2 linked regions of the Nothobranchius furzeri genome follow. Each later gene encodes a partner of the first gene's protein in a complex. Links are inferred from orthologs where the notes say so. Each region holds a gene or a part of one and is shown on either strand. Other genes may lie near its edges.

Region 1 (15,168 bases):
CATGTGGACAATGTGCTAACTCCACACATGTACGAGGAGAACACAACAACTCCACACATGCATGAGAAGAACGTGCTAACTCCACACATGCATGTGGACAATGTGCTAACTCCACACATGTACGAGGAGAACACAACAACTCCACACATGCATGAGAAGAACGTGCTAACTCCACACATGCATGTGGAGAACACTCTAACTCCACACATGCATGAGGAGAACACGCTAACTCCACACATGCATGAGGAGAACACTCTAACTCCACACATGCACAAGGGGAATGTGCTAACTCCACACATGCATGTGGAGAAAATGCTAATTCCACACATGCACAAGGAGAACACAATAAATCCACACATGCACAAGGAGAACGTGCTAACTCCACACATGCACAAGGAGAACACGCTAATTCCACACATGCATGTGGAGAACATGCTAACTCCACACATGCACGAGGAGAACACAATAAATCCACACATGCACAAGGAGAACGTGCTAACTCCACATATGCATGTGGAGAACACGCTAACTCCACACATGCACAGGGAGAACGTGCTAACTCCACACATGCACGAGGAGAACACGCTAACTCCACACATGCACAAGGAGAACGTGCTAACTCCACACATGCACAAGGAGAACGTGCTAACTCCACACATGCATGAAGGGAACATGCTAACCCCACACATGCATGAGGAGAGCATGCTAACTCCACACATGCATGTGGAGAACGTGCTAACTCCACACATGCACGAGGAGAACACACCAACTCCACACATGCATGTGGAGAGCGTGCTAACGCCACACATGCATGTGGAGAACGCGCTAACTCCACACATGCACGAGGAGAACGTGCTAACTCCACACATGCATGAGAAGAACATGCTAACTCCACACATGCATGTGGAGAACGCGCTAACTCCACACATGCACGAGGATAACGTGCTAACTCCACACATGCACGAGGATAACGTGCTAACTCCACACATGCACGAGGATAACGTGCTAACTCCACACATGCACGAGGATAACGTGCTAACTCCACACATGGACGAGGATAATGTGCTAACTCCACACATGCACGAGGATAACGTGCTAACTCCACACATGCATGAAGGGAACATGCTAACCCCACACATGCATGAGGAGAGCATGCTAACTCCACACATGCATGTGGAGAGTGTGCTAACGCCACACATGCATGTGGAGAACGTGCTAACTCCACACATGCACAAGGAGAACACACCAACTCCACATATGCATGAGAAGAACGTGCTAACTCCACACATGCATGTGGAGAGCGTGCTAACGCCACACATGCATGTGGAGAACGCGCTAACTCCACACATGCACGAGAACACAACAACTCCACACATGCATGAGAAGAACGTGCTAACTCCACACATGCATGAGAAGAACATGCTAACTCCACACATGCATGTGGAGAACGCGCTAACTCCACACATGCACGAGGATAACATGCTAACTCCACACATGCATGTGGAGAACATTCTAACTCCACACATGCATGAGGAGAACACACTAACTCCACACATGTACAAGGGGAACGTGCTAACTCCATACATGCATGTGGAGAACACGCTAACTCCACACAAGCATGAGGAGAACACGCTAACTCCACACATGCACAAGGGGAACGTGCTAACTCCACACATGCATGTGGAGAACATGCTAACTCCACACATGCACAAGGAGAATGTGCTAACTCCACACATGCATGTGGAGAATACGCTAACTCCACACGCACAAGGGGAACATGCTAACTCCACACATGTACGAGGAGAACACCCTAATTCCACACAGGCACGAGGAGAAGGTGCTAACTCCACACAAGCATGTGGAGAACACGCTAACTCCACACATGCATGTGGAGAACACGCTAACTCCACACGCACAAGGGGAACATGCTAACTCCACACATGCACAAGGAGAACACGCTAACTCCACACGCACAAGGGGAACGTGCTAACTCCACACATGCACAAGGGGAACGTGCTAACTCCACACATGCACAAGGAGAACGCGCTAACTCCACACATGCACAAGGAGAACACGCTAACTCCACACATGCACAAGGAGAACACGCTAACTCCACACATGCACAAGGAGAACACGCTAACTCCACACATGCACAAGGAGAGCACGCTAAGTCCACACGCACAAGGGGAACGTGCTAACTCCACACATGCATGAGGAGCACATGCTAAGTATTGGGTTTAATGAAACAACCTTCTGAGTCCTGGTTCTGATCCAAAGTAACAACCATGTTGGATCCGAACTATTTTCATTAACTCGTAGTTCTCAGCACCAGAAGGATGAGAAAAAAGAATCAGATCTTAATTCACTGCAGCAGGAAAACCCATCAGGATGAAACTGGAGCTGCTTTTATTCTTTGGTCCTGATTTCTGATTATTCTGTAGAAATCAGATCTGATTCCACAGAGCCTCTAATTATCAGTGGAGGTATTTATGGATGAGAGTGGTGCTGACCCAACCCAAACAGCATTCTAACTGAAGGAATCCTGCTTTCGACATCAGGATCTGATCCTGTGAACAAAGTCTTGGTTTGTTCTATTTGTTTAGTTTTAAATGAAATGACGATTAAATCACAAGTTTTTATATGAAAGTCTAAATTCAACCAGAACCTCTTGTGGACTTTTAGGTTCTATAGAACCAGAATGAAGGACGTGTGAACAGGTCTCACAGTAAACCCCTCTGGGTGAGTTCTGTTGTTGTTTTTTTGTTTACTTTCAGGGTGACCTGTGTTTGGATTGCCTGAGCTCCACCTTCTGTCTCCCGTGTGTATGGTGTCAGATGGCCTCAGAGATGAAGGAGAGGCAGCTGCCAACGGTGCTGAGCGACATCTTCAGCAGCTGAGGATGATGTCATCAGCATGATATCACTGCTCCAGAAGTGACTCGGCTCTTTGTGCTATAGGTTTTTATTTTGATGTTTTTACTCTTTTGTTTTGTCTGATTTGTTTTTTTTTAGTGTTTTCTTCAGTTTCAGACAGAAACTTTGTGATTTAACGTGAACACAGCCTGAAGTGTGACCTCAGAGATAGGATCAAAGGTCATTAATGACATCAGATTTGACATCTTTTGTGTTTTATTACTGATTTTAGTGACTGTGAGTCAAATCGGAGGTCCGAGATAAAACTGGTTTGTTTTTTCATTCAGATCTTAGTTTTTTTTATAGAATTGCTGCTTTTGTTTATTTTATATTTTATCAGGCTGTAGACGTGTAGTCAATAATTTGGGACTTTAGTGCATCTTAGTTCAAATTAAAATGTTCTACCTAAAACTGTCAGTGTTGCGCCCCCTTCAGGTAAGAACTCTGCACTGCATTTGAATTTCTATCATTTAACCCTCTCAGGCTCAAAATAAGTTTTGATAAAAGGACGAACACTAAGTCCTTCAGGGGAACTTCTGAGTTAAAAAAATGCTCATGAAAGATATAAGTATGTGGAGTAACCGGGAAGGTAGGTTTTAACGTTGCTAATCTGCAACACCTGCCTCCAGAGGGTTAAAGCCACTCAGTGGCCTAGTGGTGGGGTGTCTGCCCTGGGACTTGGAGATGGGAGTTTGATTTCCGATCGGGTCGTACCAAAGGCTTTAAAAATGGGACCCAGCACCTCCCTGCTTCACACTCAGCTTTGAGGGGTTGGATCGGGGGGGTTAAACCACCAAACCGTTCTCGAGCACAGCCACCGCTACAGCTCACTGCTCCTCTCCATGGGGACGGGTCACGTGTGGAGATGAATTTCACCAGTGTGTGATGATGACTTTGGGACTTTAACTTTAAATCTGCCATCGCTGTTGTCTAAGAGGTCCAGTGTTTCCCAAACTTGGTCCTCAGGGACCACTGTCCTGCATGTTCTCCATGTTGTCCTTTCACACACCAGTGTGTCTCTGCTGCCACACACCTGACTTAAAGGCCCAATGTGTGATATTTCATCTTATAAGTTATCAAATTTCTTGTATCACATTCTCAAATTTGTTTTTTTTAATGATAATTCAAACAAGCATTTATTCTAAGCATTATTATTAGCTTTATATTTTAATATTTTAGACAAAAGAAGCAGACCGGTGCTCCATATGGCATGCGCCATCTTAAAATACAGTGACCTTTTAGGGACATACAACATATTAAGCTTCGCATTTGATGTTTGCGTTTTTAAATGATGTAACCTCAAAGAAACAGCAGGGGGCAGAAGTGCGCCTTGTAAGCTTGCAGTCTGACAAAGTAACTAAGAAGAAGAAGAAACTAGCCACACCGTACTTCTAGCGATGGAGGATCACACATATTCTACAAGCAAACTTGAGAAACGGGATAGTTTGAAAGCGCTTGAAAGCGCCGATCTTCTAGACTTTATTGCAGCTCTGCCTCTTCCTCTTGTGCGTGGGACGTTGCGGCTGGTTTGAGCAAATTCGGCTCCTTCATCTTGGGATGCTTGCCCTGCTTCTGTCGCATGTCTAACACCTCTGCCTCTCTGTGCGCTGGCACACGTCTGTCCTCGCCCTCTTCCTCTCCCTCGTCCTCTGTCTGTCTCCACTGATGAACCATCGGATGATGTCTGACTCTGTTTACGGAGAGAAAACAATTACAGACTACACTACCTTGTATATTTCCAAAATGGCAAATAGAAATATAACATTTCTCAAATAAAATGAACAAAATATTGTCATTTTTTGTAGTCTGAAGTCATCACTAACTAGCTGCCGTTTGCTATTAGCAAACATAACTGACATAAAAAAGTTTTTCTTATTCAAAACCTATTTAGATTAAATTAATAAAATAAGTTAGATGAAAACAACTAACCTGTTCGCTGACTTGAAAGCTGGAATTAGATGATGACATGCTGCCGTTTACAGCAACACGATTTTGTATTGTATTTGTTATATTTGTTAATAAAGTTTTAAATAATGATTAAAAAAACCTTTTTGATCCTCGGGGGCTCCAATAGCTGCAATACCGACTCTAAACTGCGTGGTGCTAAAGAGTCGGATCTTTTTACTATGATTTCTGTGAATTTCACACAAGGGGCCTTTAAATGAAGCAGTGATTAACGGGCATCTGCAGCACTTGATGTCCTTCTGAAGAGCCGATGTAAATCAGGTGTGCTGAAGCAGAGACATGGACAACATCCAGGACAGTTGTCCCTGAGGACCAGGGTTGGGACACACTGAGGTACACTATGACATAAGCTGGTACTATATGATGTCACAATGCTGTTGTGAGCCTGTGTGTTTGTGTGTTTGTTAGTGGCTCCACCCTCTCACTCTGCCAGGCAACAGCATTTGTTGCACTTTTCAAACAGGAAGTGGGAGTGGAGTAAGCCTCTGGTAGGGGGTGACTTGCTCTTTAATGAGTTAACTAGCAACATTTTACAGATAATAATTATTGCTGTGTGGAATTTGTTGCATCTTTAAAATGCTTCGTAACATTTTTCTCACACACATTCCACTAAATCAGAAGTGAGATCAAAGAAAAGGTTTTTATGTGAGGGCGCACGGTGGTTGGGATGGGTAGCGTTCTGTCCACGTCCGTCACGGGCTGGGTGGGGGTTGAGCGGGTGCGCTTTGCCGACCTCCGGGGAGGCTTGGTACTGGAAGACAAGATGAACGGCTCTCTACAGAGACTCGGCTCTCATTGTTCACTTTGAAAACCAAAAGATTTGATTTGCTCGTGAATGTCACATCACTGCAGATAAATGAGTATGGAAGAAGAGGACAGAGCATCGTTCTTCTCCCAGACGGAGCAATAATCATACATTTGTGTCTCTGAGGACTACAAAGATGTCAGAACTAAAACAGACCACCAGCTGTTTTACATCCAGTGGTCTCCTTTAAAATGCAGCTGAACGCTCACCTGTTCAGGTGCTGCTACCTCTTCTTACTCGTTTTCTTTCTTCCCTCTCATTTTTATGTTAAATTTTCCATTTTCACAATTTATTATGTGTTTTTAATCATGTTTTAGTTTTGTTCTTGTGAAGCACCTCTTGACTCTTATCTTCAGAGGTGTTGCCCTTGTTCAGGCTGGCTTTTGTGTGACCTTCTTCACCACTCTCTTTATTCTGCTCTCCCCACCTATTCCACCTTCCTCAGGATCTTTCCCTATCTATTCACTCTCTCTCTCTTTCTTTACATTTTTTTAATCACAATTGTCTATTTTTTGCTCATTTTAAACATATTTTAACCATTTTCTAAATTATTTTTTTATGTTTTACACTTTTTTTTGTGAAGCGCCTCGTGATTTTCATCCTGAGAGGCGCTATAGAAATGATACTTTCTTCTTCTACACACACACACACACACACACACACACGCACACGCACACACACGCGCGCGCGCGTCTACAGGCCCTCTGTAGACTTTGCCGACATTTCCGCTCCTGGCCGCCGGGGGCGCTGTGGTCCAATGGTCCTGTTAGTCCGGGACAAGAGTTAAAACACGTGCGTGCTGGGTGAAAGCAGAAAGCAACAATCGGTTATTGATTATCAGAGATGACGAAGACGAAGAAGGAAAACGCGGATCCAAATGATTCGGTCGCATCGGCCGGTGGTTCCGAGAGGACCTACCAGGAGCTGGTCTCCCACCTGAACCCGATCTCTCAGCCGCTGGCCTCCAGGAAGCTCAGCAAGAAGCTCTACAAGTGCGTGAAAAAGGGTAAAAGACCACCGAGACCCGTTAGACCGGTGCTTGTGTCCCGCTTCTTTACCCGGTGTTTTGATTTCAGCTGCTAAGGTGAAGAACATCCGGAGGGGCGTGAAAGAAGTTCAGAAGTTCATCAAGAAAGGAGAGAAAGGGTGAGTTAGCTTCACGGTGCCCGGGTCCGTCCAGAACCTCAGTCCCCATTACTGTAGTGGTCCGGTCCGTCACTGTTTTCTGTCCCTCAGAAGAAGTTCCGCACTAATTTTTTTTTTATGTATTTAAATGTGAACATTATTCAGTTTTAGCGCATTGAACCATTCAGGACACCGTAGTCATCCGCGCGTTAGAACCTCACCTGTGCTCACCTGAACCCGGTCTGGTCTCTGCAGCATCGTGGTCCTGGCGGGCGACACGCTGCCCATCGACGTGTACTGTCACCTGCCCATCATGTGTGAGGACAGGAGCCTGCCGTACGCCTACGTGCCCTCTAAAACGGTGAGTGAGTGGAGCTGGGGTCAAAGGTCAGCAGGTGTTGTCAGGATTTCAGATTTCTCACACGTCAGTTTTAACCCTTGACTTCAAGTAAAACACACATTCTATGAGGTAAAGGGCTGGTGTCGTGGTTTTTAGATTCTGATTGTGTTAAACGTTATTATTACTATTATTATTACTACTATTACTAGTACTATTATTATATATGATATATGTGTATATATGATCCAACGGTTTTGATCTAAATCAGGGCCGTGTGCATATCTGGTCCATCTACACCGGGGGGAGGGGGTTCCACGTAGTGAGCTCAGAACGTCAGCGCTATAATGAATCCATGCTTCCGTACCACCAACGATGCTCGAGTGGAATCATCTCTATTTAAAGCAAGGCCCACAGGCAGACCCTGTTAATCGATACTAGATAAATGAGAATGGAAGAAGGTACAGAGCCTCGTCCTTCATCTGGATAGAGGAAGATTTACGAGGACTACAAAGACATCAGAACTAAAACATGCCACCAGCTGTTTGATCAAAGCTGGATAGCTGGAGTGTTTACAGGTTTCCATGGCAATGCCGAAAGTCCGCCTCAGCTCTGTTGCTGAGTTTTCATCATTTATATGTTGTTATCATGTTCTGCTCCAGGGTCTGGGTGTTTACAGTCTCGAGGACGTAGTTTTTGCTGAGCAGTAGTGGTGGTCACGTGACCTTAAAGTTGCCCGTTTGTCACAAGTATGTTTATGTTTATTTATTTGGCAGACGCTTTTATCCAAAGCGACTTACAATTTATAACCTATAGGGCGTGTTGTGATCTGTGGGGGAAACCGGAGTACCCGGAGGAAACCCGCGCATGCATGGGGCCAGAGTACAGCTTTTAACGCAGGGCTACTCGGTTAGATTTTTTGTTGGGCCAAATTATCATGAGGCTTTTGCCAGCGGGCCGTACATTTCCCCGTATCTCATATTTACCTATTAAAACAAAGTGCCGCTGCATTTTCAACAGTTTTATTGAAACAAGTCAAATGACATTAGGATTAACTGCTGGTTTTTAGTGAAAATAATAGAAACTGCAAAACATAGCCAACTCTGGTTTTAACAGAACTCCGAGTCACAAACTCAGTTACAGTACTTGTTTTCGCTTAAAATAAAGCCAAGAAAACATAACCAGCTGTAGTTTGACTGAAATCACGGTCACATAAAGAACACAGTAACGATAATTACAATGTCTTTTATGCAAATAAGAACAAACAAAACTTTCAATTAAATCACAAAATTAAACTACTGGCTTTTAAAGCATATAAATGAAAGAAAAGTCTGAGTCAACAACTCATAGTGACAGCACTTGCTCTGTGCTTAGTAAAGCGTAGAAAACAACCGGTTTAGTAGGGCTGGGGGTAAACGATTATTTTTAAAACGATTATTCTGATGATTATTTTATCGAATAGTCGACTATTCTAATGACTATTTAGAAAATTAATCTAATGATTATTTTTCTATTGCACAATTAACAAAAACCAGAAAATCTCAAATAAATTCCTCAAAAAAATTGATAAATTCTTACTGTAAGAGAATAAACACTACAGGCCTTCCATGCTTTTATTGTGTTGGTTGGTTATGTTCTGGTGACGTGTAGAACTTGGGAGTGCAGGCTGCTGCCTGAGAGGTGGTAGAAGATGGAGTGTCTCCATGCTGCTTTGTTTTGGTCACTTATGTGCGTGAGGCGAGTGGTCTTACGGGTTAAACCAAACTCAGGTGATATTTTACACTAAACCGAAAACCCACAACACTCTAAATGTAATAAAAGGGAGATCTGCACCACAAAAAAAGATGAACTCTAAACCAAAACGTAACAGCTTATCCCAACGCAAGAAGCTGTTAGCGAAGATGCTAACAGTAGCTTTACCAACGTTAAGTTCAAGTTACCAAGTTTAAATAAACCAAAAACACCCAGCAGCAAACAGACCAGCATGGAGGAGAGACCGTTACCACCAAAACAGCTCTCCTCATGTCTGAAAGAAGCTCCTTAATGAAGGGAGAAACGCTCCCGGTGATGTTCTACATCTGCGATAGACACGAAGCAGCGCGTCTGACCCCGGAAGTTGTTGTCCGTTGCCGGGAGACGAAGGGGCAAAACAGGAAAGGAATCTAGTAGTGGACGGACGTTGTTCCGGGTCTTCGGTATTTGGCGGAGATGTTAGTGAAGGCGGAGAAGAGGGCGAACTAGAGGAAAAACAGACAGATTCCTCCTCTATTTACAAACTCCTGGGGATGCAACAAGTGGGCGCGGTGCGTCGACTACCGGATCTGACGTCGACAAATTTTTAGAATCGAGCCGTCGACGTCGTCGAGGCTTCGCTACAGCCCTACGGTTTAGTTTGACTGAAATCCCAGTAGCAGTACCTAACATATTTTTTGTGGAAATATCACAGTCATAAACTAAAACGGTAAGAGCAATTGTGCAAATAAGAACAATCTACATTTTGAATAAAATAACAAAATTAAACTGCTGGCTTTTAAAGCACATCAAAGGAAACAATAGTGTGTTTGGTCCTCATACTGCCGGAGACTGATCGATCTCTAATGAGAAAAATGACACTTGACTGGGCAAGATGAGAAAAGTTAGGCTCGTGTGGGGTGACGGCGATCCGCAAACAATGATGCAGATGCTCCTTTGTCAAGGACATTCGATTCTCTGTTTTTATGGCGTTCATGTGAGAGAAGGCTGATTCGCGTGTTGACCCAAACATTGTTAAGACACATATGGCCAGTTTTTCCATGTTTGGGAACATCTCTGGGACAAAGCTTGGCGCAGCCTTTTTCCTGAAGGACATCTTTGAATTCCCCTGATGCCTGTATTTCATAGGGCTGTAGCGAAGCCTCGACGACGTCGACGGCTCGATTCTAAAAATTTGTCGACGTCAGATCCGGTAGTCGACGCACCGCGCCCACTTGTTGCATCCCCAGGAGTTTGTAAATAGAGGAGGAATCTGCCTGTTTTTCCTCTAGTTCGCCCTCTTCTCCGCCTTCACTAACATCTCCGCCAAATACCGAAGACCCGGAACAATGTCCGTCCACTACTAGGTTCCTTTCCTGTTTTGCCCGCCCTCGTCTCCCGGCAACGGACAACAACTTCCGGGGTCAGACGCGCTGCTTCGTGTCTATCGCAGATGTAGAACATCACCGGGAGTGCTTCTCCCTTCATTAAGGAGCTTCTTTCAGACATGAGGAGAGCTGTTTTGGTGGTAGCAGTCTCTCCTCCGTGCTGGTCTGTTTGCTGCTGGGTGTTTTTGGTTTATTTAAACTTGGTAACTTGAACTTAACGTTGGTAAAGCTACTGTTAGCATCTTCGCTAACAGCTTCTTGCGTTGGGATAAGCTGTTACGTTTTGGTTTAGAGTTAATCTTTTTTGAGGTGTAGATCTCCCTTTTATTACATTTAGAGTGTTGTGTAGGGTTTTCGGTTTAGTGTAAAATATCACCTGAGTTTGGTTTAACCGCCCAGTTTAGAGTTTGGATCCCTACTTATTTGTACTTTGTTTTAATTCCCCACAGGCAGAATTAGTTTTATTATTCCCAACCTGTGGATGGAAAGATTTATGGTTTTTTTGCAGTTGTAAATAAACCTGATCATCATTTTAACTTTTAAATCCCGTTATTGTCCCTTCCTTTTTGCACACGAGCTAAACTCCCCAGGAAGAGTCGTAAGACCACTCGCCTCCCGCACAAAAGTGACCAAAACAAAGCAGCATGGAGACACTCCATCTTCTACCACCTCTCAGGCAGCAGCCTGCACTCCCAAGATCTACACGTCACCAGAACATAACCAACCAACACAATAAAAGCAGTGTTATACAAAATGGAAGGCCTGTAGTGTTTATTCTCTTACAGTAAGAATTTATCAATTTTTTTGAGGAATTTATTTGAGATTTTCTGGTTTTTGTTAATTGTGCAATAGAAAAATAATCATTAGATTAATTGTCTAAATAGTCATTAGAATAGTCGACTATTCGATAAAATAATCGCCAGAATAATCGTTTTAAAAATAATCGTTTACCCCCAGCCCTAGTATTTCAGTCATTTCAAGTCGCAGGGGACCTTCATCAGTGCCATGTAACTCCAGGAACGCCGCTGTTTTGGGGGAAGTATTGGGCGTGCTGGTGAATGGGTTCCTCGCGACATGCAGCAACTCTTTGGGAATGTCAAAGTCAGAATCTCTGAGCAAAGTTGTGTTTCAAACGGTCCAGAAAGTCTGACACGACCTTTGTGACTTTACCACATTGTGATGACTTCATGAAGCCACTGAGGGTTGGAAAATGCAGCAGTCTGCTACTGAGATCGGATGAAAACATGTCTAGTTTATTTTGAAAAGCAGTCAGTCTTTCAACCACATCAGCAACTGTTTCATCTCTCCCTTGAAGTCCCAGGTTAAGTACACTCAAATGATGAAAAATATCACATAAAAACACATCTCAGACACAAATTTATCATCCAGCATGTTGGTCAGAAATGTTTCAGCCTTCCTCTGCTTGCATTCACGAAGAAAAGTAATGATTTCTTTCCTCAGTTCAGACTCTCATGAGTGCATTTCCCTGGCTTCACCACCTCACACTGATATGCAAAAGTAGGTCAGCATGCTCAGCTGACATTAACAAGAAGTTTGCGAAACAGTCCGTGTTGGAGACCAGATGTTGATCTGATAAAGTTACTTGTAGCCATGACAGAATCCGTTATGTTTTTCAACTCGCCACTTAATTGTGCGCAAAGGACAATCCTTTGATCTTCCCCGCCATCGAAGGCGCGCCATCTGTAACAAGCAGCTTGATACACTCCAAGTCCTGTCCGTTCTCTCGAAAAACATCCACAATCTTCTGGAAGACTTTCTCCGGTTGTATGCCCTTCAAGTGGTATTAATCCCAATATGTCCTCTTTGAAACGGTGACCATCATAAAAACGCACAAGCATACAAAGTTGAGCAACATCCGAGCTGCCCGTTGATTCATCCACAGCGAGGGATATGAAGTCAGCCTTCCTCATATCCCTAAAGCATCCACTCTTCTCGCAGTGGTTGTATCGGACAGTGGAACTGATCTAATCGAAGTTATAACTTGCTCTTTCACGTTTTCATCCGTCTCCACTTCCTCAACAGCAGCTTGTGTGCATTCTTGCACTGTTTCAGCATCTGTAAATGCTCTTTTATTTTTAGTCAATATCCATGCGATTTGCAGAGGTGCTGTTGTGGCTTTCTGCTGCAACGTGCAGGTTCGGGTGAAATGCACACAACTTCGCTGATAGCTTTGGCTCGGTGTCTTTACTTTTATCTGTCGAGCCTCTGAGCCTGGTGGATATTCATTGTCAAAGTTAGCGTGACTCGTCTTGAAGTGCCTCCGCACGTTGTATTCTTTCTTTACCGAGCAAATGACGAGGCAGACGAGGCACATGGGTTTCCCTTCAGCATTTTGATCAGTCCACTCGTCGTTAAATCTTCTATTTTCGGTGTCAATTTTACGTCTCTTCTCTTTTGAATGTGACGTGTTTTTTCCAAGAAACTGCTGCTATAAGTCGTCATATACTTTCCATCAGGAGCTGCGCGACTTGTTTTTAAACCTGCCGTTCACGGGCACTGACGAGCTTAACAGCGTCACCGGCCTGTTGGACGGGTCCCTAAAGCTTGGTTTATGCTTGACGCATTCACTTTCCACGCGGTGATGCGGCTCGCGGCTGGAACGCGCTTCACAACTCGCAGCGTTTATGGTTTGTGCGGCTCGTCTCTGCGGTGAGCCAATATTCTCCCAAACTGTAGGGGGCAGCATGGAGCTCTACAGCATGCATCCAACACTACACCATAGTAGAAGTAGAAATCACTGTTTACAACATGGTATTTCAGCATTTTTAACAGCGTCCTCGTCTTTTCCGACGGTGCGAGCTATTTCTCTCCAAGAATTATTAACAACATGTTGATCACGGTGATCTCTGAGAGCTGAATCATACAAATGTCTGTATTTACGAACCTCTGCCGTGCCGGTCCGCCATGTTTTTCCGCGTCCGACCGTCCGCGTGGTTAGAAATTTTCCGAGGTGCGCGTTGCGGAAATCTTGGGCCGTGCGGAGACGCGGTGGAGGGGCGTGGTTGTTAAAATGATGCAAAATGACGCTACTTTTCCGCGCGGAGCCGTGCGGACCTCGCGGACGCGTCAAGCATAAACCAACCTTAACGCTCCAAAACGTGCCGTAAAATGTCACAAAATGTTGTAAACTGCCGCGATTGAGGTTTAGCCGTCGGCTGCTAATAACCGCGACACTGCTACTTGAAAAACCATTTATCAAGAATTATGAAGACAATGGGCCGGTCCCAAATGCTTGATGGGCCGGTTCTGGCCCTTGGGCCGCCTATTGAACGTGTAAAGTACGTGTGTTATGGTCGCAGCTGTAAGCTAGTTCAGGCTATTTAACATAAAGAGGACAGCGTGTTAATATATGATGTGGGTCCATCCCAGACTAAAGCTGATATATAATTATAATAATTAGGGGGGCCGCAGTAGCTCAGAAGGTTGCAGGTTCGATTCCGGCTCCAGCCAGAGAGTGCTGCTGTTGTGTCCTTGGGCAAGACACTTAACCCACCTTGCCTGCTGGTCGTGGTGGGAGGGGCCGGTGGCGCCTGTGCTCAGCAGGCCCCGCCCCTGGGCAGCTGTGGCTACGTCGTAGCTCATCACCACTAGCGTGTGAATGGGTGAATGACTGTGTTGTAAAATGCCTTGGGGAGGGGGGGGGGGTTGTAAACCCCTAAGAAGGCGTTTTACAAACACAGACCAGTTACCATTTGATTTTGGGATCACAGATTAAACCGGTTGTGGTGAAGATCGGCCGATTCTGATCTGGATTTGAGCTCATCTGATTTTGATTGGTTAGAATACAGGAAGTGTTTAAATCTGCGATTGTTGTTTCTGAACCTTATTTTGAAACTCCTCCAGGATCTGGGCTCGTCCGCTGGCTCGAAGCGGCCAACCTGCGTGATTCTGATCAAGCGTCACGAGGACTACCAGGATGCCTACGACGAGTGTTTGGAGGAAGTTTCTTCCCTGCCCAAACCGCTCTGAGCTGCAGCCAATCAGAGAGCAGCTCTGAACGCCTCTGTCACCTCAGAGCCAGCAGGACGCTTGGGACTGTTTATTGATCTGATAGATTTGAGTTTGATCGTTTGTTTCTGCCTGTTTTCCTGTTTAAATTCTGACTTTTTTAATTCTATTAAACCTTTGAACATAATCCGACTGAAGTTTGTTTGAAGTTGTAATAAAAGTAAGTTTATCTGAAAGTGCTTGTTTAGTCTTTAGGTTTCCAACTTAAACGTCAGTTTCAACCAACTGTAGTTTTTAAAATTTACCTCAAAACAGGAAGTGGTTCCAGATCTGGTTTGACCTTTTCTGACCGAAGCTTTATTGTTTTGTTATTACTCTAATTTACAGGCTTGTCTGGTGAGCCACACTGGTTCTGTTGAGGCTGGTCTGAGACCAGCTGGGTTAACTCATGAGCTGCAGTTTGATGGTGTAACCACCAGGTGGCAGCAGATTGGCTTTCTGATGATAAACAGATTTCTGAGGAGGACGCATTAGTGTAGAGCAGCTCTGGGCCTGCAGGGCCGGTAAGCAGAACGTTTTTAACTGCTTCAACACATTTGGTTGTATTTGGTTATATCAAATGACCTTAATATTACTGCACCTATAATTACAGATATGGCTGTATCTCACCATTACTGTTTATTTTTTTAATGCTTTAGCTGTTCCTCCCCAGCTGCATAACCCTCAGGAAGTCAAAAATTATTTCGACAATAACAGAATGGAAAACCTGCGTCTACAAGGTCAAACAGATGATCTAGTGATGGATTTTAATTTAAAATACGAAAACGTAATGGATCAAGTTGCACCTTTTCAAACTAGATGAATAAAAAAGATGAAACCCCCCTGGAGAAAAGGGCTCGAAATCAGAGTCTTACGGAGGAAATCTAAACTTCTAAT
Region 2 (15,198 bases), on another chromosome or scaffold:
TATAATTTAATTATCATGACATACCATGTGTCTGATTTTGTGAAATAAGCTTGATTAAAGTGTGTTTTTTAGTTGTGTAAGCACCTTCCTCAGAGGAAATGAATGCACTGGGGGCAAATCTAAAATGGCTGCTGGCCACTACAGCAGCTCCATTAGGCAGAGCCAGTCCACGGGCCATCTACATAAATATGTCTCTGGTTATAGTTCTGAATGACTCATTAAAAGAAGTAAAACGCCACAATTGACTCATCATTCACTCCCCACATACATTTTACTGGAATGTCAAGTTGTTGGTTATTGAACAACTTTCTTTGGATAATTTTAGAGCTAAATGGTAGATGGCCTGTATTTGATATAGCGCCTTCTAGAGTCCTGGAACCCCTCAAGGCACTTTACAACACAATCAGTCATTCACCCATTCACACACACATTCACACACTGGTGGGGATGAGCTACAATGTAGCCACAGCTGCCCTGGGGTGCACTGACAGAGGCGAAGCTGCCGAGCACTGGCGCCACCGGTCCCTCTGACCACCACCAGCAGGCAACGTGGGTTGAGTGTCTTGCCCCAAGGACACAACGACAGCGACAGACTGGGCGGGGCTCGAACCTGCAGCCTTCCGATTACTGGGCGAGCACTTAACTCCTGTGCCACCGATTTTTTTTTTCTAGTTCACCTTTAGCATTGTTAGCTCACCGTTGGCTTTTAGCCTGCTTCTACCGATAATAGAGTAAAAAGAAAAAAAGATGCTGCAGAGTTAGCTTAGTGCAGACTCTGCAACCTCACAAACTCACTGAGTGTAAACAGTAACTTCGTCCCTTTTTGTGTTTTTTTAAGTGAGAAAACCGACCACCACCCAGTCGTCTGAGACAGCAGATCTGTTCAGTGTAACCTTCCCTCCAACAGGACTGAGACATTAAGCTGTTTTGTGATTATTTCACTATAGACTCCTTACATGTTCCTGCTCTAAGTACATGACATATTAGCATGCATCTTTTTAAAGCTCAATGCATTTTATTGCAGGTAAAATGTCCCCATTCTGTCACTTAAAATTTTATAACTTCTAATTATAATGCCTTGTCTTTTAATATATCAGTCAAACCTGCACAACTTTTATTTGACAATTTAATGTTAAAACAGGACACCCTACTTTACAAGATTTGCCACTGCTTGAGACAAAACTGTCCCTGAAAATGTTATGCCATCCTCAAATGAGGTTCAGTATATTCCACTACTGAGACAGAAGCTAAAGCTAACTGTGTCAAGGAAAGGCCGAGGATATCACAGCCAATGCCAGGCATTAGGCACATAATGGCTAGGATTTACTGATAAAACAGGGGCCTCACAGTGGCAGTTCTCAGGGACTTAAGTGGGTCGACTTGGGGTTGTAAACTACATGAATTCTGCGTTCTAGCTGTCAAACATGGTTTTGACTTTCATAAAATCTTTAGAAAATGAGGGTTTTAATGTTTGACGTGTTGCAGTGGAACTATGGACTATGAAATACTACTGAAATATTTATTTCACCAGAAAGATGCACAAACAGATGAAATGTTCCAGTCAAGAGGTCTAGTTCTAACATTTGTGAAAGTGGCTCAGGGTTTAGGAGTTTGCCCTGTAGTCAGTGGGTTGCCGATTAAAACCCAGGGCTCCTTCAGTGTCAGTTGAGTCCTTGGGCAAGACACTTCACCCTACTTGGTGGTTGGAGGGACCGGTGGCACAGATTGTGTAGCAGCCTTTCCGCTGTCTGTGTGTCACATGGCAGCTGTGGTAACGTTGTAGCTCATCACCACCATCAGTGTGTGAATGACCGAACTGTACATTTTTTTAGAGTCCCTGGCTTAGAAATGTGCATTATTATTACTATTATTATTATTAATATAAAAAATTGAACTGGAACATTTCTTAAGTGAAATGCTATGATTAGAATTAACACTACTATGCACTGGATAGAAAAAGAAAACCTGAAAAAGAATTACTCAAATGAACAAATACCTTCACATTTATTTAAAAATCCAATCTTGATATTACTTTCCAGCAAATACACGTCCCTCCACATGTTTGCTTTCCACTACACAGTTACTTTTGCTTATGAAAAAAAAACAAAATGTAAAAGCAAAGGCTAGCATCTGGGAAATCTACTCAAACATAAAATAGTTAGACTGATTCTTCGGTCTGACGCAGGAAATTCTTGCATTGGACAGAAGTTTTTCTGAGGATGCAGAACATCGGCTGAAGGCAAGTAGACCAGTTCTGATTCACTAGTCATAAGAACAGCTAAGATTGTTTTCTTTTGTTAAGGTTTGGCCTCAGGTAAACACCACCAACTATAAACCCTACAACATCTTATTAAAAAATAAGGTGGTTCATGCTAGAAACCCCTCAAATAAAGCTGAATTACAACAATTCTGCAAAGATGAGAGGGCCAAAATTCCTCCAGAGCACTGTAAAAGTTATCGCAAACGCTTGATTGCAGTTATTGCTGCTAAGGGAGGCCCAACCAGGTATTAGGTTCAGGGGGCAATTACTTTTTCACACAGGGCAATGTAGGTTTGGATTTTGTTCTCTCCCTAAATAATAAAAACCATCATTTCAAAACTGCATTTTGTGTTTACTTGTGTTATCTTTGACTAATGGTTAAACATGTTTGATGATCAGAAACATTTTGTGTGACAAACATGCAAAAGAATAAAAAAGGGGCAAATAGTTTTTCACACCACTGTACCATGTGTTGGTTGTGGTCAGAGGGGCCGACGGCGCATAGCAGCCTCGCCTCTGTTAGACTGCCCCAGGGCGGCTGTGGCTACAAAGTAGCTTACTATCACTAGCAGTGTGTCAATGTGAGTGTGTGAAAGTGTCTTTGAGTGTCCTGAAAAGCACCATATAAGTTTAATGCATCATTATTATTATTTCCTATGTGTAAAAGAGTCATCGTGAACAAACACCAGCATTGAAACATATCAAGTATCATTATTCAGTTTTCTAAACCCTTTTATCTTTCCAACAATAACTTCAGACAAACTGGACATTAACATGAAACATGAAGAGACAGACAATCGAGCCCTAAAAAGCGTGCAGTCCAGTGGTTTTAACTCAGACAGCATGTCCTCCACGTATCAGTTGCACAATGCTGTGACAACTCCGGAGGATACTGGGATCAAAAAGTAAAAAAAAGAGGGTAGTAGACTTGGAGTCATCACTTTGGATAGTTTTCCCAAAGATTAGAAAGACGTTCAGACACATGTACCCAAGAAAGCCTTATAAATCTGTGAGCTAGTCCAGCATTTACAGACGACGGTACCCAGCCTCACCAACACCTGTTAAAACTCGTCTTCCTCTCGCTTTTGATCTCTCATCTCCTCCTGCTACTTTGTTATCATCATGGCTCTCCTTCCCTCTCTCTAAAGTTTGAATTATTTTCCCCAAATGTATAAAGAGTTGTTCTAAGTTGTGCAGTTTGTGATTAATGGTGCAGGCAGAGGAGACCAACCAAAGACAAGAGGACAAATCTGTTTTCCACTTTAGAAGAAGATGGAAAATCCGGATCGCTGCCAAAGGTATTCATTTGATCCGAACAACACTTCAATAAAACAAATTCCTTGGACAGCTATTTTTGGTTCTTTACAGACGCAATCCCCAAACAACCCTTTGTCTTCTGACCTGACAGCCTGCAACTGTTTTGCTAACCGCTCTTGATGACTCTCCCTTTTTAAATCGATACGTAATATTACCAAGGACGAAACGCGGTAAGCCTGACCACATGAAGCAGATATTTCTCCACGGCTGATTTGGTGCCAGAGTTTTTTAGCCCAACTTCTCAGACAAGATAGTCTGAAGCAGAATCAGTGTCACTGGAACTGCCAAGTACGACAGATGTAGGGAGAATTAGCCCTGTGGAGATGAGGCAGTTTATAAATTTGAAGTCTAAAGAACATTTTATGTTTTTAATTCAGGTTTTCATCAAAGCTTTGAGCAAAAAATAGGAGACATCAACATTTAACCCAGATAAAATAGCAATCTCTACACAGAACAAAAAGACGTTGATTTGGTTAGATGCTCTTGTTCACACAACAGAATCTTGTGTGTGATGTAAAAGTGCCACCTAGTGGTGAATGTGGGAATTAGCTGCAAAGAAAAAGTTTTACTTTCTTAAAAACGCATGAATGGTAAAGACAAATAAGAAATGTTTCCTTTTTTATCCAGTGATGAAAGCAAGTAAATTCTTCATGTCTTTGGTTTATCTTCTTCACAGTCCTGAAGACTGATAGAGCGGATGCTGAGAAAAGGAGAAAAAACAAAACAACTAAAAAATAGTGATTAAACAATTCCTTTAACTAAATAAATTCATTTATTTGAATAATAAAGTTGTTAGATCTTTTTAAAACTAACATTGATCAGTCCCAGCATTACAAACAAAGCATCCTTTCAGTAGAAATACTCTAAACAGTCATGAACCAGCTTAGAAAAACATCTTTAGATGAATACACAACACACAGAATAACAAATACAGTGCATCGAAATAGCCATAATATTATGACTATGTGGCAGTGTGAGCGTCCTGTCACAGTGACCCGATTGATCATGCGCCCTGGCTACTTGGCCACGGGGATGTCCCTTTGGCTGACTGGTTAGCGCGTGTGATTCTCACCCGGGAGTCTGGGGATCGAATCCTGCCTGCGCCCTCGCTTCTCCACCTTGCCACAACTATATGCATGTTATGAAAGGTGTCCATATTTTGCAGCTAAAACAGCCTTAAGGTGTGATGTGGGATTTGACACGAAGACATTCTGCTAATAACTAAATAAAGCCACTGCGGTGTTGTTCTTGACCAAACGGAGATCAGGACAGCCTTGAAGTAAACTCAACACTTTGAACTCTTGTTATGTTCCTCAAACCATTTTTGAACCACATTTCCTACCTTAGTCTGATACATCTATCCCTGAAAATGGTGGCTGAGAACAAGCAGTACCTTTTACCCGTGAAGCTCCACCCCTAAACTCTTTTCCCCGAGTGCATCCTTGTGCGGTCAGCAACAATTTTTAAATGATCTTGCTACCTAAAGAAATAAAAACTTATCTTCTCAAGGTAAATAGCACAGACCCTGATGTCCACATAATGTTGAGAAAAGGACTGTGCAAGAACTAAAGTTGTGAAAATGCCATCGCCCAGCTGTTTGGACGATTATCATGCTTGCTCAAATGTTGTTTCAATAAATCCACGTTAAAGACTAGATTGCTTTCCGATTTCCTCCCAGTAGAAGGAGCCATTTTAAAGATGATCAATTATAATAGTGGGTGTTCATAATGTTTTGGACGATCATTTTATATGCCCAATAGTTTCTAAAACTAGTGTTTTCCTAAGAATTTATTCCACTACTTTCCTGTTTTTACACACTGAAGCACTTCCTTTTTATATTATGTAGAAATGAAGTAAAAATGACACCATGTGGTAAAATTTGGTTACTGCACCCATTTTAAACAACTCAAGCTTTTTGCCGGCTGTCGTCAAATTAAAAATGTCGGCGCTGCAGTATTAGCCCGCAGGAGACACGGCACCCCCACACTCTGATGGCAAACAGTAGTAACGTCCCTTTTTCCTTTGTTTTGAAAGGAGAAAAACTGACAATCCCCACAGCCAGCTGGATATGAAATATGTTTCAGTATAACCTTCCTTTCTTAAATGACAGAAAAATTTGACTCTATTGGGAGTCACTGTAAAATTCTCTCTATATTCTTACATACTGCACCTTTAAAAAGTCAGACTGTGACAAACTGTACTTAATGGCTGAGGAAGTGAGGGTACTGGACACTTTGACATTGTTGTTTTCAGATTTTTACTAATATCCTTACTTTGGACCTAATCTGACGTGTAAGAAAAGCACCATAAAATAATTTTTGCATTATGTAAATTCAAAAACAAACATATTTTGTGGCCTGCCAGGACTATAACTTGACAATTTTGGCCCTCATCCTAAACAATTAGGACACCCTTGGATTAGAGGGATCTACAAACAAGCACATAGAAATAAAAAAGTCAACTAAAACTGAGAGACATAAATGACGACACCTTTCACCATTCTCCAGGGGGTTAAAGGCCGTGTTGATCTCATTCAGCGGCTGCGTGTGGGTGATAAACTCATCCAGCTTCAACTTTTTACTCATGTAGTCATCCACAATTTTCGGCACACCCAACACACTCTTCCAGCCTTCAGAAGACAATGACAATAACAAGGTGGTGATCACGTTTAGTTCAGAGAAACCACTCTGGGTCATTCAGAACTACATTTTAGATGAATATTTAAAACCATAACTCACCAGATCCTACAGGAAACCCTCAAACACAGTTATTTTGTGTTTAAACAACTTAAGGAGAACTTTGATTCTCTTAGTCTTATACTCATCCAGCTCTGCTCCTGGATTACGACCAACAGCTGCTTTATGGTGAACCATTGAACTTGTTTCCAGCTTACCTCCAAAATACGTCCCCTTCAAGGTGCGTCCCATCAGGATCTTTATGACTGGGACACTCATCGTTTCAGTCTCCATCCGCCCGGCGATGACGCAGGTCCCACAGGCTTCAGCTGTGGACTCTAATGCTGCAATCTGAGAAAGCACAAGATGTTTGAGTTTAGTCTTCTTTATTTTCTTACATGTTGACGCAGATATTTAGAAAATAATCAATAATTTTAGAGAGCATTCAACCACTTTTATTTTTGCACAACTCATACCTGAACTACCTGTAACTTCCTGGCACACTCAGTCCGTAGCAACCTGCAGACTCTTGACTCTAGGTTTAATTAATCAGATAATTACAAATCCACCATGACGTCTGGCTTTCCGACACACTCCAGAGCAACGTCCACTCCTCCAGTTGTCTTCTCCACCAGAACCTCCTGGATGGATTTGCTTCCATTGTTCGGGCTGATGCACTCAGTGGCTCCAAACAGCCTGGCCTTCTCAAACTTCTGAGGGTTGGTGTCAACCCCGATGATCGTTTTCGCCATGGCATTCTTACAGCCTATAATGGCAGCCATTCCGACGGCTCCCAATCCAAACAAGGCACACTAGGAATCTTTTTCAACCTGAAAAAGAGAAGTAAAACAACCATTTTTTTCACTGATGAGGCATACAGTCACTGATACAAATTAATGGCTAGAGTTATTTGTCGATAGGTGTGCCGGTGTAAATCTGGGTGTAAAAGATAAAACCTGGATGTAGCTGTGGAGAGTGAAAGGTGCAGTTTTAATGCGTGTGAAAATGTTGTCCACCATATAAACCAAGTCAAATAGCCCAATTTAATTAGCGATGTGTTATTTATTGCATTTGTAACAAATATTAATTTGAAGCTCAACCACAATTTATAATTTTACTTTGCAATGATGCTCCTAGTCTCATGTTTCAGAGAATATGTTTTAAAAATGGATGCTGTACAAAGCTGAAGCCAAACTGTTAACAAAATGCCCAAAATATTTGCACATTTTTATCTGGAATTAAATTTAAGGCCAAAGTGTTACAGTGTTGACTGTGACTTTTTAAACACGCATGAAACCATTTATAATAAAAATAATCTGGTAAATTATTCATTTCTAAAATGGATGATATCTCGTGCGTATTTTATCATGTAGCAAACATCCGGTTAAAGGCAAAAACATCTAGTGCTATCTACTGGTGAGATCTACACCTTGAAAAGTGTATATATATATATATATATATATATATATATATATATATATATACACACACACACACACACACTAAGAAGATGACTTTCTGCAAAAAACAGCCACTTTAACATTAGAAAGTACATAAACTATAGAATGAACAAAGCTGTTTACTGGTTAGAGGCCCCTTACTTTGCCTGAATTGATAGCAGCACCATAACCGGTGCCTAACAAGCAGACTTTGCCCAGAGGTGCATCAGCTACTTTTGCCAGAGATGTGTCAGGAAGCACTGTGTACTGACAGAAGGAGTCAATACCGAGGAACTGATAGACCTACTGACCTTTGATGGAAATCCTGCTTGTGCCATCAGACATTACGCCCTTTTGTGCATTGTCCCTAGAAATCACATGATGTGCATTCAGACCAACACCCATGTGATGTTTGTGTTTCTAAACATGTGACAAAGATGATCTACCAGTTCTTCCTGCAAAAGTTTGTTTTTGAGCTCTGGCACCGATCACACTTTCCACAAAAAGGCAAGAAAAGAGGAATAACTATCTCCTGGCGACAAAACAGAAGGACAAAAATTGAAAGTTAGAACTCATCACAACTTTTGAGTTAACTGTACAGGCCATCATACCCGGTGAGAATGCATTCTCACCGGGTATGATGGCCTGTACAGGGTATATGGCCTGTACAGGGTATGATGGATCTCTGGACCAACACTCTCCACTACGCCCGCTGCCTCGTGGCCAAGAACTAAAGGGAATGATCTGAATTTCAGTCTTTTCCCAGTCTCATACAGGTATTCCCAGTCTGTGTGGCACAGTCCAGTAGCAAAAATATGTTGCATAAAGTAAAGAAAGGAAATAAATAAATCAGGAAATGATTCATCTTGCAGTTTGCATATGTGGATGTGAAAAATGTTCACATGCGTAATACTTTTCACTATCACACGCATAAAGTCATGATGTTTTATGAAAGTGCTGCTGAATTATGTCCTTGAGCTTAGGTGGAGCAACACTTCCTCGATAGACAAAGGCTTCTTCTGCTCCCAAGCAACAGCTGCTTTACACTTGATCACCTTTTGTAATATAAAATACACATTCATTCAGGTTTCAAATAAAATCACAAGACAAGGATCAACAAGCAGTCTAAACACGGTGAAAAATATCAAAAAATACTCACCTGTCCTGCCTTTGCCATAGCTGATTAATGGCTACTCAGTCTGCAGTCCACTAAAACATGAAGATATGTTTATATCCATTTATCTGTGAAGCGACTTTTGAGCTGTCCCACTTGCTGTTGCATCACATATCAACGATGCCTCCAAAAAGCGCTTTACTCATATAAATATTACCGTTGGGCAATTACGACACTTTCCGACTGTGGTAATCGGGTTTACGACAGTCTATGGTCACACGTGTTATTTGAGTGCGAAAAGGCTTCTTGTAGTCCAGGTAAATAAGTTCCTCTGTACTTTTGTCACATATGTTTAAAATGTTTAATTTAAAAGAAACTCAACAGATGTTGCGTTTTGTCCGTTAAAATAACTGAGCGTGTAAACGTCTTAATTGCGGTTTAAGCTAACGCGTTAGCATCTACATGCTATAATCCACGCCGTGAACTGCAATCACGTCTGTTCTCGGTTTTTAGTTTGGTATTAAGTTATGTAACCGTTTATAGAGGTTGCAGATATTTTTGAAATGGAATACAGTCTGGAAAATGATCGATTGCCGCTGTTAAAATGGTTTAAATCAAGGTTAAAACAACATTTGAAACGAGAACTTAGTTAAATAGCGGTGTCAGATTTGGTCCTCTAGGACCACCAACCTAGATGTTTTAGAGGTTTCTGCTTCAACAAACGTGGTTTTAATCGGCAAGTGATTAACGGGCCGATCCGAAGCCTCTGGGCAGGTGAACTAGGTATGTTGGAACAGAGAAACAACGAACATGCTGGACAGGGCCCTCCGTGACCAGACCAGGGTTGGAGCTAACGACACTGGAGCAAAGGGGTCTTGGATTAGTTTTGAATCAATCTCAAAACCATTTTAAATATAGAGAATATAGGATTTTAAACAGTCAATACATATCATTGGGAGACTGATCTTAAATTATATACATTTTAAGGAGGTTTATATCAAAGTGGAGTTTATTATGAAGCAATTTCAAGAAATGCTTACTACAAACACTGTCAAATTTTAAACATAAACAAAATAAAAAGAAAACAGTTTAAATATAAATAGAAAATATAGAGAAAAGCAAATGGCATCCAACACAATATAAAAAAAAGCAGCTCCTGGATAGAGTAAACTCAAGTTCTACATCTGGAACAGCTGGTGGGTTTTGGTTTGAAGACATGACACCATATAATACCGTTATCTGTCCGTGCAAGGGCACACCAGCACGCTCACAAGGATGGGACAGTCTAACCCACTTTTTAAACATCTTTTAGACAGAGAATACAGTCTTGTGATTGGTCAGAACTCCGCTTTCGTCAACAGCACTGCCATTGCGCCCTCAAAAATATAAAGAAGGCCAAAGATATCCAGCGGCACACAAGGAGCAGCTTGATGAATACCTCATGGAGGAACTCTATAAAAATATAAACGTTTTATTCACCCATGACTGGAGGAGTGAAAAGACACACAGCAAACGCTCTATTCGTGGACGAAAATTACAGAAAACGTGGGTTTAGAGGTGGCGAGCGCATGAAGAGGTGGGGGAGCATGAGGGACAAATTTGTCTGTCTTAAAAATTTTCTAAAATACAAACACTATTAACCCAATAGGAACAGGTCTATCTTGGACATTATACATGACAGTATACCCCAGAACTACGCCCTCTATTCCTGGAGGGGTAGCTTTGCAACACTCCCCAGAAGACGGACAAGTCGGAGATCAAAACATCTCTGTTAATTTGTGTGCTGATGCAAAAGCATAAACTAGGCTTTACAAGCAAGGCACTCATTCCTACTTGAGACCACTGCAAATGTATAAAAAATATGAGTAAAACTGACCTTAAACAAACTGGTTGAAAAAAAAGAAAAGAAATTGGTTTGGCCCAGGTGGGAATAAAGAGAAAAGGTGTGATAACTAGGGTTGTCACGGTATGAAAATTTAACCTCACGGTTATTGTGACCAAAATTATCACGGTTTTCGGTATTATCGCGGTATTTTTTAAACGGTGTTGCATATGTTCAGAAAGCATTGATAGTCCTGTTCTACACAAACTGAAATAGTTCTGTAAAGGTTTAACAATGTTTATTAAACCTAAAATAACACAAAGCCTTAGCAAAAGTGCAACTTTTCAGAAGTAAAGAACAAATAGCTTATTTTTCTGGAACATGTTACAGTAGTCAGTGCAGGTTTAAATTATACAAATCCAAACATTCGAAACATAAACAATATGTAAACAAATCAAAGAAACACCACTTGTTTTCTCATATACTTGTTTTCTTCATTATCAAAATGAAAATCTAAAACTCCAGTCCACACTTGACTTGAGCACTGTACAAGTCAACCTTAAAAAAATATGTATTTAAAATAAATAGCCACTTTAAACAAATTACTAAAATAACTACTACACTATGTAATCAAATCCAAATGTTCAAGTATAAATGGCATTGAATAAGTAAACAAATCAATGACAAGGAACTAACTGTATATTTCTCTTCATCATCAACAAATAAGATGCTTCATCCAGCAACAGGTGTCCGTGACACGGTTTAAATGCTGGCAGAGGACGCTGCGGCTGCAGTATATAGTGACTCGTTGCATTCTCCCTCAACCAAAAGTCCTCACGTCATGCATTTAAGCTAAAATGCTAATGTTAACTTACCTTGCACTGGCTGTAGAGACGTGGGTGATGGTCACGCAGATGTGCCATTCGATTCGAAGTGTTGCTGCCTTTTGCAGACACTTGTTTCCTGCACGTTCTGCAAACGGGATAGCAGTCTTCTATTAACTGTCCCTCAGCATTTTTCAGAAATCCAAAATATGCCCATACTTCCGATTTAGTCTTCTTTGACGGCTGATGGATGTCCTGGGCGCTGCCGTCTCCTCCTTCGGCCATTATTTCAGCTTCAAAGTTTTGGTGCCGTTGCAAACTAAAAAGTGCGTGTGCGCGCCGCGGGAACTTCAGCTGAAGCGACGGTGGCTGGTAAGGGTCACCGCGCCGAAACCGCGGCCACGGTAAACCCACCGAGATAATATAGTTTTTTAAAAACTGGACGGTTATTTTTATTGTCAACTTTTTTACCGGGGTTTACCGCTATACCGGTTACCGTGACAACCCTAGTGATAACACAAAAGTAAATTTCTAATTTTGATAAGAAAATAACGTTTGAATTAAACACTCAATGTGACTTTTAAACAACAGCGTTGGTCTTAAAGAGCAAGTTACCCCCTACCAGATTCTTACTCAACTCCCACTTCCTGTTTGAAAAATGCAACAAATGCTGTTGCCTAGCAGACCGAGAGGGCGGAGCCGCTAACAAATACACACACACACAGGCTCACAACGACATTGTGACATCGTATGGTACCAGCTAATCAATTCAATTTAAAAATACTTTATTAATCCCAGAGGGAAATTAGAGTTTCAGTACACACAATTCTGAGATCAGACATGCATACATGGACACATGACAAGAATTGGTGACTGTGGTCATTTGCAACCCGAGTCGCGCTATCGTAATAGATCAAGAGGGTTAATATGAGGATAGAGTCAGGGGGAGGGAAAAAAGGCACTTCAGTTACCCTCAACACAGAGGGCAGCTTTGCAATGCAAAAAAAAAAAACCACCTCAGACAGATATGCACAGACTTTAGACATTACACAACACAAGTGTCCACTAGGTGGGGAGGTAGGGTTGGGACTCTCCTCACTTCAGTGCGTGCAGCCACATGGAGCAGCATTCATCACCTCCGCTTGGACAGGAGAGGGAGATAATGGGTTAGAGGGCACATTTGACTCCTAGATACGGTTCCACAACCTTCACCGGTCACAGTCCCGCCCAGGCTGGGATAGGGAGAATGTTTCCATAGCGACGGGCCGGCAGCATTCCACATTTCTTCTGTGAGGGGAGTATTCACTTCAGCCTCACAGGCTCCAAGGGCACCAGATTCAGATAAAAATTGTTTTGGGGACAGACAGATGATTTCCTCTCTTCCTTAGTGTTCTGTTGGTCTTCAACCCCTCTAGATCCAGCATTGGCATAATTAATCTAATGTTCTAGGGTACCTCTTAGCCAATAGAGATTTGGCAGATTTAAGTTCAAATGCAGTGCAGAGTTTTTACCTGACAACGGCACAACACTGACAGTTTTAGGCAGAAAATTAAAATTTTAACTAAAATCCACAAAAGTGCAAAACTATTGACTACACGTGTCTGCAGACCGATTAGATATGCATTTATATAGTTTCTAAAAAAAAAAAGTTGATTTGGGGGTGACTTGCTCTTTAAGCTGAGGATTTTATGTGATCACCAAAAATCCCAGCGACTAGAATTTATTTAATAAAGAATTTGAATTTAGCTGAAGAAATGTGAAAGAAAGTTTAAAAATGACACGACACCAAGGATAGACAAAGCTGACCGTCTTCAGCGTAATCGTTCCACGGTTCTGTTTTACCTTGGTGATGAAAGGCTGTAAAATGACCCACCGTGTGTGTGTTTTCCTGACACCTTCATTTACAGACTTGAGAAGAATGTCTTTCAGAGGAGGAGGCGGGCGGGGAGGTGGGCGAGGTGGTGGGAGAGGGGGAGGTTTTAACCGAGGTGGTGGATTCAGAGGTGGTGGAGGATTCGGACGAGGAGGTGGAAGAGGTGGTTTTAACAGGCAGCAGGACTACGGTCCTCCAGAGTACGTCGTCGGTAAGTAGACTGTTGTTCCTATTTGGCAGATTGAAGCAACATTCACACTGCATGTCTTAACGCTCCATTCCATTTTTGTTTGTGTGGTTGTTGAAATTGTGCCTCAAATGTGACACCAACACTCTTCAGTGTGAACGTAGCCTGTTTTCTTATAAAGCCTGTATCCACGGCTCAACAGACCAGTCAGAAAATGACTGGATTAGACTGCAGTTTGAATTTTAAAGGTATGTTTTTTTGTTTTCTGAAACTCATCGTTGTGTTTCTACTCCACAGCTGTTGGAGAATTCATGCATCCCTGTGAGGATGATATTGTATGCAAGTGTACAACAGAAGAAAGCAAAGTTCCCTATTTCAATGCCCCGGTGTACTTGGAAAACAAAGAGCAGATTGGAAAAGTGGATGAGATATTCGGCCAGCTCAGGGACTTTGTATCCTTTCTTGTGTGTTTTTTTGAGTCATCTGTGTAAAATGATTAAAACACTATTGGTTTTTTTTAAGCTTCCTGATAATTAAATTCCCTAACTAATGTGTGCGCAGTATTTTTCTGTAAAATTGTCTGAAAATTTGAAGGCATCGTCGTTCAAGAAAATGCAGAAGGTAACTGATGAGAACAAGAACGTTTTCAGATACTGAACTCGGATACTTCTGCAGGTTGTGATATTTGTTAAAATTGGGTTTTCAGTTTTACATAGACCCGATGAAGCTACTCCCATTGCAAAGATTCCTGCCTCGGCCCCCAGGAGAGAAAGGCCCGCCAAGAGGAGGAAGGGGAGGCGGCAGAGGTGGAGGAAGAGGCGGTCGTGGAGGTGAGTCATTTCAGATGTTTAGTCCTTTTTGGTCTTTTGCTTTAAAGTTTTTTAGGATGGTTTTTGTTTCTACTAAACCAATTTCCGGTTATTTGAACAGCTTGTAAAAGTGGTGTGATTTTTTTTGTTGTTGTTAATTTCAGGTGGTTTCCGGGGTGGCAGGGGTGGAGGATTTGGAGGTGGGCGTGGTGGGGGGTTTGGAGGTGGACGTGGTGGTGGTGGTGGAGGAGGTTTCAGGGGAAGAGGAGGTGGAGGACGTGGATTCAGAGGTTGGAGCATTGTTATTGTTACCGATTTCTAGTTTTCATTTTATCATCTGGTGTTAATTGTTGTCACGTGGTTTATTTTTGTAACTTACAGGAGGAAGATGATCGGATGCTGTTGGGTCTGCTGTCAACATGTCATCCTTGTCTGTGACATATCCAGAGCAGACTTTTCAACTTCTTGATGACCATGAGTGGGTTTCTTTTGTATTAATGTTTTTAATGGTGTATTTTTTTTCTGTTTATGGTTATTTTTATTTAAAAGGTTCATACGAAATGTGTGGATGGGACCTTTTCTGTTGTTTTGGAGCATTTTAAATACGATTGTAGACAAACAAAAATATTTTACACCTGCAATGTAGTCTTGTTCATCAGGATTCCAGGAAACAAACTTCTGTAGTAATTTCCTTCTTTGAGAAGTCAGACTTATTCAGTGTTGGCAACAAGCATTTTATTACTGAAATTGTAATAACATCTGAAAAAATATTGTATTTTTTGTAAAGTAATCAATTAAATGTGCTGTTTGGCGTGGGTTTGAATTTCATTCTCTTTTGAAGCCTTTTTGCATATTTTAAAAGTGAACGTGGCTTCTTT

The links.
Region 2: nhp2 (region 1) and gar1 share a complex: the UniProt entries of both Homo sapiens proteins name them as parts of the H/ACA small nucleolar ribonucleoprotein (H/ACA snoRNP) complex. The link is inferred for Nothobranchius furzeri from reciprocal best matches to the Homo sapiens genes NHP2 and GAR1.

Annotation. Positions count from the first base shown.
Region 1 is NC_091750.1:25,729,506-25,744,673, forward strand, and holds nhp2 (H/ACA ribonucleoprotein complex subunit 2-like protein), read left to right. Parts: upstream 1-6,412; 5' UTR 6,413-6,525; coding exon 6,526-6,688; intron 6,689-6,758; coding exon 6,759-6,828; intron 6,829-7,028; exon of another isoform or gene 7,029-7,062; coding exon 7,063-7,168; intron 7,169-14,127; coding exon 14,128-14,253; 3' UTR 14,254-14,419; downstream 14,420-15,168. Other genes in the region: cornifelin, read left to right, coding at 2,775-2,897. UniProt on the Homo sapiens protein: Required for ribosome biogenesis and telomere maintenance. Part of the H/ACA small nucleolar ribonucleoprotein (H/ACA snoRNP) complex, which catalyzes pseudouridylation of rRNA.
Region 2 is NC_091741.1:77,340,487-77,355,684, forward strand, and holds gar1 (H/ACA ribonucleoprotein complex subunit 1), read left to right. Parts: upstream 1-12,152; 5' UTR 12,153-13,300; coding exon 13,301-13,535; intron 13,536-13,808; coding exon 13,809-13,963; intron 13,964-14,072; coding exon 14,073-14,132; intron 14,133-14,217; coding exon 14,218-14,341; intron 14,342-14,484; coding exon 14,485-14,610; intron 14,611-14,701; coding exon 14,702-14,712; 3' UTR 14,713-15,143; downstream 15,144-15,198. UniProt on the Homo sapiens protein: Required for ribosome biogenesis and telomere maintenance. Part of the H/ACA small nucleolar ribonucleoprotein (H/ACA snoRNP) complex, which catalyzes pseudouridylation of rRNA.